3 linked regions of the Arabidopsis thaliana genome follow. The protein of the gene in region 1 interacts with the protein of each later gene in a pairwise test. Each region holds a gene or a part of one and is shown on either strand. Other genes may lie near its edges. The genes, in order: AT5G26749, AT3G24820 and STY2.

Region 1 (3,700 bases):
TTAATTATAACCCTGAAACCCTAAAACCCTAACAGAAATATAATCTTTAATTATAAAATCTTAAACCTAAACCGACATATAAGTAATTATAATACGCTAATCAAACTCTTCTTTATAAACTCAAACTATTTACTTTGTTCATAATTAAAATAAAAAATAAACTAAAACCCTCCATTATAAACCTAAAAACCAATATATAAATTTGAAATATTAACTAATAAATCATAACCTATCTTTTATAAACTCAAACCAACATGCTCGACTAAATTACTCTTAGGAGATTCGAAGATATTTCTCTCAACAATAAAGAGTTTAAAATTAGTTCTATTTTATGGAGTTGAAGAAATGAAAATGAAGTTAATAATTTAAATATTTGATTCTGAACAATCTGATTTTTCTTTTAGCCAACTTATACTCTGTTTCTCAATAATGTATTTTCTAGGGAAAAAATTGTTCCAACTTTGTAATTAATCTACAGCCTTAGGAATTGCTCCAACTTTGTCAAATATTTTGATAGTTTGGCTTGGGAAGTCTTGTTTAGCACATGGCCAGGAAGCGGATAGCGAATTAGCGATATCCTATCATCACGCAATGAATAGGGACGAGCCAACGAAATTTAAAGAATTTTATCAGAATATCGCACAGTATGTTAAATTGCAAATTTGCCATGTCCAAACTCCGAACAATGTCTCTAAAGTTGACGACAAATTGAGTAACAAGACGACAATTTGGTTGACATTCTTCCAACCTCGAGTCTGAAAAGAGACAAGCTTGTGGCTAAAAGCTTGGTAATGGCAGAGCACAACGAGACAAAGATTAGTCTTTTCCTTTCAAGTAGAATCATCAATGTTGAAACTGAGCATTATTCAGAGAATTTATATCTATCCCCAGTCTATGAAGGGAAGCTGAGGATAGCCTTGCTCAGGAGGCGGTTTTAGCGATGGCGGAAGATCAAACCAACCTGTTCCTGGTCTCCCACTAACAAAATCACCTGTTTTAGACAATTCAAACTTCCAACATCAGATTTTCTATAAATGCTTAAATATTAGAGAACTTGAATGACGAAAAAACAAGAACGCATACGGTTTAAAGTACTTCCTTGGATGTGTTGTTGGTTAAGCATGTCAACACGAAGTTGTGTATTATTTGTGAATCCTGCATTTGAATTCAACAAGAGGATGATGTTTTAAGCAAATCTTGCGCATAGTAGAGACTTCTTTAAAGCTTTAAGTAGCCTAAAAGAGACCAAATCACTGAAGTCAAAAATCAACAGGTTTTGACCTAACCTGTGCTTCCTGTATTGTTGTTAGGATGGAAGTATCTGCAAGAATCTCCAAATGGGCAAAAATTCTGCAAAACCCATTAAGAAAGGAACAGACTTTACTTGGAAGATTACATACATACACACATATGCAATGAATTTTTTTGCAGAATCAAACAAAGCAATGTAAAATGTGTGATTCCACCAGAATATAAACGAAAAGGACAAGACTTTACACATCCAGAGATTGCTAGGAATGATGAACATAGCGAAACAAAATCAATCCGACGTACCGAGGTAATGAATCGATTGCAGAGACCTTTCGTCGCAAAATTGGAGACTTGTGGATTAACAAGATCTAAGAATTTCGTATTAAAAGAAACAGAGATGTTAAAAATCGTTCCTTTAAGAAACAGAGAGAAAAAAGAGAGAAGAGAGATACCTGAGGAAGAAGAACTGTACCAAAGGGCTTTAGCTCGAAGATGAGGTTTGCTTTGAAGATGGCGTTTTCTAGCGACTTGAGTGTCTTGAAACTCTTTCTCGCAATAATCACAGTAATATTTCCCCGACGGCATCTTCCGGCGATGACGACGACGACTCGTAGAATCAAAAAGTTTTGGCTTTTATTAGTTTTAGGCGCGTGAGGATACTTGTATTTGCTACAGTGACTTTTAGGGTCTTTGTTTGATGATGTTGCAGAGGAAGAAGAAGATACAAAAGCAGAAGTAGCAAACTCTTTATCTAGATAAAAAATCTTGGTGGGCTTTTACATTATGAACCAACCAACCATAGTAATAACTCTTTTTTTCTCTACTCATACAACAAACAAAGGGTGCATATCAGTTTGTGACATATTGATACATAGAGAGGTAATTTATAAGAAGTGTTTGTTGTGTTCATGCTACATTAAGAGGAAATCACAAACCGAGCCAAGGACACTGCTTCCTTGCATGCTCAGGTACTAACTTAGCTACCATCTCCAATGGTACACCTTTCAGCTCTGTTTCACAACAATTACAGGTATAGCTTTAGTAAGGTAAAACTTTGATGATTTTACAGGTAAGTTGGAGATAAACACCATTAGGAAAGGGAGATGTTGTACCGTGAGGCTTGAAGTTGAAAAGCGGTGGAAGGAAACGTCCATTAGGTAGACGTGCGTTTGGGTCTCTTAACTCATCAAAGAATGGGTGGACTAATGTGTCGAGCTGTGATCAGGTTTACGATTCAAGTAAAAGCAAGTCAGACAAAAGAAAAATAGGAAATGAAAGGACCATCGAGAAGATTCACAGAAGAATGTTGAATTTGTAAGTAATACTCACAGCGGCACTTCGTAGATTAGGAGAGTATTGAAGAAGTCTTGAGACCAAATCAACAGCTTCTGGAGGCATGCGTTTGTGGAAAATCTGTGAATATATTATGACGAGTAGATATTGTCACATTGACTGTAACTGCTACTGAATAACACATTGACAAGTTGATTTGATGAATATAAGTTTATTTCTACCTTGTGCCATGGATGAGCTTTAATCTGAGGGAATTTGAATTCCGTGTAGTTTGGGTTCATGCACTTGATTTCTTCTCTAGTAGGCGTTCCCAAGACCTACCCCAAAGCATAACAAAAAACATTACATCAAATCTTCTCTCAGTATTATTGAAAACAAGAACTTGTTATCAAAGTGAACAAGTGCAAAGCTTATACCTTGATAATCTCTACAAGTTGATCAACACCGCTCTCACCAGGGAACAAGGGCTGTCATGAGCAGAGAATAGAGTTTGTCAATCACAAAATTCCAGGTTAAGTAGAACAAAAATGTTTGAATAAGATTTAATGCATTACCTGTCCAAGCAATAGTTCAGCTAGAACACATCCTGCAGACCAGACATCAATGGCTGTCGTATACTCGGTTGCTCCAAAAATAAGTTCAGGTGCTCTGTAATACCTCGAGCAGATGTAGGAAATGTTTGGTTCTCCTTTTACCTGTTTTCAGATATTACAATGATCAACAAGATTGAATCTAACTTTTTCCAAGAAACAAAGTACCCGGAAGAGGTTTATCAAACTCACCAATACTTTTGCACTTCCAAAATCACATAGCTTTACTTGATGAGTGTGCGGATTTACCTGTTCCATTACAGGTGAAAAAAGTAGCATTAGACAATGAAGAAAAGTATATTCCCGGGTATACTGTGAGCTCCTGTTTATTTAACTTGTACATACCAACAAGTTTTGAGGTTTTATGTCACGATGACACACACCAATGCATCGGTGAATGTAAGATAAGGCTCTAAAAATCTGCCAAACATAGAGAAATCCGATAAGAGATCCAAAACATAACTCTAAATCTAACAGAAATGTAATAATTGATACCTGATAAGTGTAAAGTTTGACGTATATAAGAGGCATTCTCTGATTCAGTTTGTTGTAGTGTTTGATAACAC
Region 2 (3,757 bases), on another chromosome or scaffold:
AAGTTTTACTGTCTTCCATGGCCATCCTCCTGATTTGAGCCTGTTGGATTGCTAGCACCTCATATCTGCAAATAATTTCCATGAACTACCAATGGTTAAACTCATATTTCTCGTGATCTTTATTCATCACTTTGTTACAAGCTAAAAACCCATCTCACTATCTCTATATGAAAGTGGAATCATACACAGAACAACAGAGTAAGGTGCATTTAACACCTACTAAGGGCATTACACCTGGAGTTATGGAACCATCTCAAACGAAATTTTTTGGCATAAGAAAGTACTTACTTTGCCACAATCTTCCTCACAAGCTGGAAATATATCCTCCAAAACTGATGTTCCTTTAAAACTCGCGGGCATAACTTGAATCTCAACTGTGAGAGTTCCTGTAACACGAAATCAATCTTGTTTAGAGCAGCTTTGAAAATAGATTCGTTTAAACCCAATGGTCCTATCAACCAAATTCAATTTTACCAACTGTGTAACAAAATCATCTTGAACTGCAAACACGAGCATGTTTACCATTTTCACTAACATGAGCCTAACCAGATTACAAGCAATTCAGGAAGATAGTAGCATCAAATGAACTATAAGATTCGGCACATAAACTCTGATCCGATTCTGATTCAAGTGATACCAGTGGACCAAGAGCTCTACCACTACCAGTTCCATCCATTTAGAAATCTTGCTTAGTCCTAAAGAGTAACTTTCAAATTTCCCTATAAGATTCGATCCATTGCTCCTAATTGACCAAACCCAAAGCTACAAGCAAATCAAGAAGACAGCAACTTTCTATAGGCGCTATAAGAATCATCAACTCTTATTTGAATCTAATTTAAATAGCACCGTTAGCTCCAAAATCCAATCATTGATCATTTGAAATCTCTACAGACAACAGCTACAAATTCCATTCATTTCAACACAAGTTCAATCATCAAAAGAAGCAAAATTTAGGAAATCAAGAAGACAACAGCTATGTAATAGGCTATATAAGAATCATCAGCCCACACACTCAGATATGAATCTAACTTTAAAATAGCACCATTGGCTCCAAAAGCTAAACTTTGATCATTTGTAATCTCTACAGCTACCAATTCCATTCATTTCAAAACAAAAGTCAATCACAAAAAGATTCAAAATTCAAGACCAAAAACCTTCGATTTCGATAACACGAGAACCGCGTGTTTCTCCTGCCAATCAGACAAATCCTTCTTCACATTTGCAGATGAACTCATTCCATTATCTTCATCTCCCAAAGGATTCACAGATACTTCTTCTTCTTCATCTGTTTTAGAAATTACAACCCAAACTACTAAAATCAACTTCATAAATCACAAAACTAAAAAAATCCTAACTAAATTGGGATCCAATTTTCGTAATTACCTTCCAGAGAGAAGTTCTTAAACGTATCAATGGTGAAGGATCTGACATGATCGATTAACTCATCAGTAACTCCCAAAATCTCATCTTTACCTTCTTCCTTAACACTCGATCCATTCTTCAAGCTATTCCCATCTGAAGATTCCTTCTTCTCTCTTAAAAAACTTCGTCGAATCCTCGAAGCTATATTCATTGCTGATCCTGTGAAGAAGAAGAAGAATCTGAAAATCTCCAATGCCTTAGAAAGTAGAAAAAATGGGCCTGGGCATGGCCTGTTACTGGGCTACTGGGCCTTATTATAATAACAAAAGGCCCAATAAATTAGGGTTTAGAGAACTCTTAACCCTAATGTCGCATCATATATAAAGTCGCCATTGAAGTGAAGCTGAGATCTTTTCGAAGAGCGGAAGCTAAGGAGAGGCGAATTCGAATCGAGAAGATGGTGTCTGGGTCAGGGATATGTTCAAAGCGTGTCGTTGTTGACGCACGTCACCATATGTGTGGTCGTCTTGCTTCGATCATAGCTAAAGAGTTGCTCAATGGACAGAGTGTTGTTGTTGTCCGATGTGAGGAGATTTGTTTGTCTGGTGGTTTGGTTCGTCAGAAGATGAAGTACATGAGGTTTCTTAGGAAACGCATGAACACTAAACCTTCTCATGGTCCTATTCATTTCCGTGCTCCGTCTAAGATCTTCTGGCGTACCGTTCGTGGGTTCGTATTCTAATCTCACAGTCTTAAAGTTCTTAGCTTAGTATGTGATTCTTGAAAATGAAGATTAGAATTTGAGTATTGGGTTTTTGGAAAGTTGTTATATTTTGTGTAGCTTGTTAGGGTTTGCATCAATGGATGGATTTGTGTTTAGGTTGGTTAGTTACTATTAAGTATGAAGAAATGGTCAGCTTTTGATCTTTGTGCAATGATGTCTGTGTTAGGAATTGTATGTTTGATAGTGTGATGGAGGATTTGAAATGTGATCATTTGTCATTTACAGGATGATTCCACACAAGACCAAGCGTGGTGCTGCTGCTCTTGCACGTTTGAAGGTGTTTGAGGGAGTACCACCTCCTTATGACAAGGTCAAGAGAATGGTCATTCCTGATGCTCTCAAGTAATGTTTCTGCAACTTTGTTCTATCTTGTAATTTTGGTTATGTTCAATGTGTTTTAGCTGTCAACTGGTTTTCGTTTGTTTTGTTTTGTTTAGGGTGTTGAGGCTTCAGGCTGGTCACAAGTACTGCTTGTTGGGACGTTTGTCTTCTGAAGTTGGCTGGAACCATTACGATACCATCAAGGTATGTCCCTTTTGTCCTTTTCGTCTGCCTTATTATTGGAACAAAAGGTGCTTCATTTACTAAAATTGTATTTGTAAGTTTCCTATGAGTTGATTTGAATAGCATCTACTGACACATCTTTGTCATTGTTCTGGGTCTTTTGCTGATTGTTTTAATTTATAACTGAAGATCATATCATTGTACTTAGTTTAGTCAGGAGAAAATTATCTCACTTAATCTGTGGAAGAAACTGGGAATTTACTGTTGGTTTAATGATTTTACAGGAGCTTGAGGTGAAGAGAAAGGAGAGGTCACAAGCTTTGTATGAGCGTAAGAAGCAACTCACCAAGCTCAGGGCAAAGGCCGAGAAGGTTGCAGAGGAGAAACTTGGATCCCAGCTCGATGTTCTTGCATCGATCAAGTACTGAAGAAAATCAGCATCTATCTTTTGGTTTAACTCTTGTTTTGGTTTTTATCTATTCAGATTTTGTTTTCTTCCTTGTATCACTGTTGAAGTTTATCACCTCATTTCAGTTTTATTTATCAGTTGATACTTCAATCCTTAGGGATGAGTTCTATAACTTCTAAGCGTCCCAATTATGTTAATCTTCTACAAATATTCTTCAATCCAAATTCACTATATGGCATGACAGTTGACTAAGGAACTAACAAAATTCTCTTCTTCTTCAGGCTAGTTTGTGTAATTCTTAAGATTTTACTGGAGATATTATATCAAATAAGAGGTGCGTAAAAGTAATTTTATATTCAAATAAAAACATTTTGCCATGAACAAAAAAAAAAGGTTTTATTATTTCATATGTAAGCAAGGCCATGAATTGATCAACTCACGTGGTCTACCTGTCCCTCTCCTTTTGGACCTAAAGTTAGCTACGTGGCACTTCCTTATTTCCGTATAAAATCTGCGTCGGCACTTACCACGTGTCATACAACTAGTGGAGACAACATGGAAAAAACTATTCTGTCGGTGGACCCACATCAGATTTTTAATTCCAAAAATAAAAGTTACACATAACCAAACTAATACTGTTAAAATTGACAGTTATGGTTAGCTTAGCGCTTACGCGTACCGTAACCACCGCTACAACA
Region 3 (3,757 bases), on another chromosome or scaffold:
TTTAATCAAGATCTTGGTGGATTTTGATAGAATTGCGTACCTGGTGGCATGAACACACTAGTCGTCATGTTACTTGAATAGTAACCACCAGAATTTGGATCTACAAACATGGCCGATGATACTCCTCCGCCACCGTCGGTCACAACTGGAGGATTAAACGGATGTCCTCCTCCTCCGCCTCCTGCGGATGAGCTCTGATGATCGCTTCCGCCACTACCGCCACTCATGTAGCTGCTTTCAGGGCCTTGGTCATACAGAATTCCTTTGAAGAGATGACCTCCAATATTGACCGTCGTTTGATAAGCGTACTGACCATCTCCTCCATCATCTACGCCACTCATTTTAACACACCGAAAAAGCGCATCTGAGCTCACTTCCCCCGGAAAACTTGCCTCCCCCATTTCTAACCCTAAAAACATATATACACAATTATACACATTAATCAACGTCCATAAACACAAGATTACGTTTATGTTTTAATGTTATGTTTCACTTCAAAACAGAACACAACATTTAAATGTTTTTTATCAAACATTTTTTCACACTGAAATTTGATTAAAAATAAATATAGAATGTTGTATTTTTAAAGTAAACAAAATTTGTGCAAGTAGTGAAAGGAAAATTAAACTCACATATATTTTTGTGTTGAAAAATTCGTGTTTCTTCTAACAAAAACATATGGTTCGAATATATGAAGTTGTCTGGATATCAAATTGTTTATAAAGACATAAAAAAAAAAAACCTGCTGAGTGGGATGGCAAGCGAGAAGAGGAGGATGTTCCTGGAAGAGTAGGGTCCCTATGGCGTTTTGGGATACTCGAACCGCCTCCTCCAGCACCGCCACTACCGCTTCCGCCGCCACCTCCAGATGTGGACATATGAAGCTGCTGTTGTCTCTCGCGGCGCCTCGCAACGGGGATCCACGTGCTCCTGACGTGAGTGGAACAATCGAATCCACGGCTTTTACAGCAAGTCCTGCAACGCATATGAGTGCAGTCTTTCTTGGCTTGGTTCCCACAGTCCCGACAGCTAATGGTGATGGATCTTGATGAAGTGGCTAAATCAGAGACGTCGATCTGATGACCTGGATAAAGATCTAAGCTTTGTTGTTGTGGATGTGAATGATGATGCATGAGCATCTGCTCTGGTGGAATCTGCCATACTTGTTGGCTCGAGCTTGGGTTGATATTATTGGTGTTTGCGTTTGATCTATACCAAACCCAATTTGTCTTTTGTTGTTGTTGATTTTCTTCTTCTTCGTCTCCGTTGTTGTTGTTGTTACCTCCTAATGAGAATATCCCAGCCATTTTTTAAGACCTAAAACTTCAAACCCTAATCTTGACCCAACTATATCCATAATTCAGAAACCCTAATTACCATGAAATCCTTATCCTTTTTTCTCCTTCTTCTTCTCACTCAAATTCAGCCTTATACTCCCTTAGCTTGTGGGTGTTGTTGCTGCTCTCCGAATCTAAATTCGAATGTTCTACAAGATCTCTCTTTCTCTCTCTCTCTTGGAACAAAGTGTGTTTCTTGGTAGTGAGTAGTTGAAGTGAGAGAAAGTAAGAAGAAGAAAAAGAAACAGAAGAGAAGAAAGAAAGAAGAATTTAAGCTGTCTACTTATTTATGAATCTTTATTTTTCTCTATAAATTTCTGCAACGCCGCCATGGGCGTTTTTAGATTTCTCTCTCCTCTGCTCTGCTCATCCCTAGAATTTAAGTCTCTCTCTCTCTCCACTACTCTGATTTGGTTTTTGCAGATTCTATGAAACCCAAAGTGAAAAGCTTTTCTTTCCTCTTCTCACTTCGGCTTTGTCTGAACAAAACGCTTCTAGTTCTGTCCGTATGAAAGTAAAAAAAGGATTAAACAAAGACTTTCTCTCTCTGCTATCTCTTCTTTCTCTCTCTACCGACTCAGAGTTTCACACCCACGGGGAATGATCCACCGGTCCTAGCTTTCTTGTTCTCATCCCATGGACCAGAGTTTGCCAAGTGGCGAATGTGCTTAAGCTTGTTTTATCTTAAAACGGATGAATTCAATTCTTTTCTTTGAAAGTTAGCATACATATTTTTTTCGTGGTTATCAAAAAAAAAAAGCTAGCTCATGTGTCCGTACGTATTAATGAACCGTATTTAATTTAGGTTAATTTGAAATCCTACGCGATTAGAAAATTAAATTCTTCTTTTTTTCTTTTTCTTTGTCCTTAAGCTTTTTTTTGTTTAATCTCAAACAATAGTAATTGCTCATCTAGCTGCCTCAGGGTTATATCTTGATCAAATTTATTAGAGCGTTCTTAACGATTTGTTTGGTTAATATGTTTCGAAAGTCTAATGTTACGTATTCAAACATTTACCCTAATTAAGTAAAGCCATATTTAGATTTTTTCTGAGGTAAGTAATCTTGTGATCAATCAGAACAACTCTTTTTTTCCTTCATAAAATATTCCATATATCATTATCATACATGTAAATATATATATATTTATCGATGCTTATGCTATTTGAGTAGACAATAGATTGTTTTAAAAATAGTTAAAAAAAACAAGCCATTCTTAAAATAAAAAAACTTACAAGTGAAAAGAAAATTTTTGGAAAAACGTCAATAGTGTCCACAAAGGGATGACTAAACCATATTTAAATTTAATTTTACATGCATAATTAACAAGCTCTTCTAATTTAGACTGCCACTTTTTCCGGTAAGTTATATATTTAAATATCCGCAATAAAAACATTCAAATATTCTGCTTGTTACCCTCTATAAATCATAACTTAAATCCATGTGTATAAAATCATTAAGAATTAGAGTTATAGTCAATAGTGTATCAAATCATTCACCATGGAGTAGTTATGAAAACAGAGAGATTCGGGGCAGTGAAAAAGAGGCTCTCTTTTTATTGATTGTAGCAAATGATCATATTTATATCGTTATCGAGTGATTTGAATAATTAAAGAAATATTTACAAAAAAAAAACTAAGGAAAGATGAAAAAAAAAAGCATGTTACTCTTTGGACTCTATGTGGCTATACAAGGGAACACTGCGCCACCTACGTGTACTTTTTTGTATTCCTTTCTTTTTACTGTGAATTATATAAATTTCCACGTAAACGACGAAGCAAACTATTGTAATAATATTTGGTATTCGTAGTTTTTCCGGGTTTATGGTTTCTAATAAATAGTCTTTGTTTGAAATGTTGTGGTAGACCAAAAACCTGTTGGATTAGTCTGGATTTTCAAGATCCAGAAAAAAAAAATCTAGTCATTTTTAAATCGGCCCATATTGATGAACGAGTGTAGTCACAATGCCACCTACGAATCCAACCAGAAACAATCATGTAAGTATATCGTTTTTGTTTAGGTGTTTAGAAGAATTAATAGTGGACTCGTACCACATGATGATCCATCCATGATCGTACAAATTAAGTTTAAACCCTAAAAAATATTAAGATTTTTATAAAACCGGCGTTATCAAGATCGGACCGATCCAGGTTAGTCCAGTCCAAAGGTTTTGGAAAGAAAAAGCTATTTAAAATTGTAAAATCTAATGATTATTATACAAATAAGAAAAACAAAAAAAAAAGAGACAGGGAAGGGAATGATAAGTGGGAGAGGCCCGAGAAAAAGACGTTCAGTGTCGCTCGCTGTCTGTCCCTTAAACATGTCGAGAGGTCTCTCGAGCCCTGTGTGTGTTCGTGTTTGCCTCTCCTTTGCGTTGACTCTCTCTTTCTTCTTCTTTTTTTTTTTTTTTTTTTTTCTGTG

Evidence for each region.
Region 2: the proteins of AT5G26749 (region 1) and AT3G24820 interact in a two-hybrid assay, tested with the Arabidopsis thaliana proteins (one large-scale study listed by BioGRID).
Region 3: the proteins of AT5G26749 (region 1) and STY2 interact in a two-hybrid assay, tested with the Arabidopsis thaliana proteins (one large-scale study listed by BioGRID).

What each region holds. Positions count from the first base shown.
Region 1 is NC_003076.8:9,397,404-9,401,103, forward strand, and holds AT5G26749 (C2H2 and C2HC zinc fingers superfamily protein), read right to left. Parts: upstream 1,865-3,700; 5' UTR 1,837-1,864; coding exon 1,704-1,836; intron 1,620-1,703; coding exon 1,498-1,619; intron 1,351-1,497; coding exon 1,287-1,350; intron 1,156-1,286; coding exon 1,084-1,155; intron 992-1,083; coding exon 882-991; 3' UTR 612-881; downstream 1-611. Other genes in the region: SK 11 (shaggy-related kinase 11), read right to left, coding at 2,179-2,261, 2,364-2,466, 2,581-2,664, 2,766-2,861, 2,961-3,011, 3,099-3,239, 3,327-3,383, 3,480-3,554 and 1 more.
Region 2 is NC_003074.8:9,062,794-9,066,550, forward strand, and holds the start of AT3G24820 (BSD domain-containing protein), read right to left. Parts: upstream 1,684-3,757; 5' UTR 1,574-1,683; coding exon 1,384-1,573; intron 1,286-1,383; coding exon 1,155-1,285; intron 387-1,154; coding exon 289-386; intron 66-288; coding exon 1-65. Other genes in the region: AT3G24830 (Ribosomal protein L13 family protein), read left to right, coding at 1,820-2,091, 2,372-2,488, 2,584-2,671, 2,935-3,078.
Region 3 is NC_003075.7:17,155,700-17,159,456, forward strand, and holds the start of STY2 (Lateral root primordium (LRP) protein-like protein), read right to left. Parts: upstream 1,947-3,757; 5' UTR 1,308-1,946; coding exon 743-1,307; intron 410-742; coding exon 6-409; 3' UTR 1-5.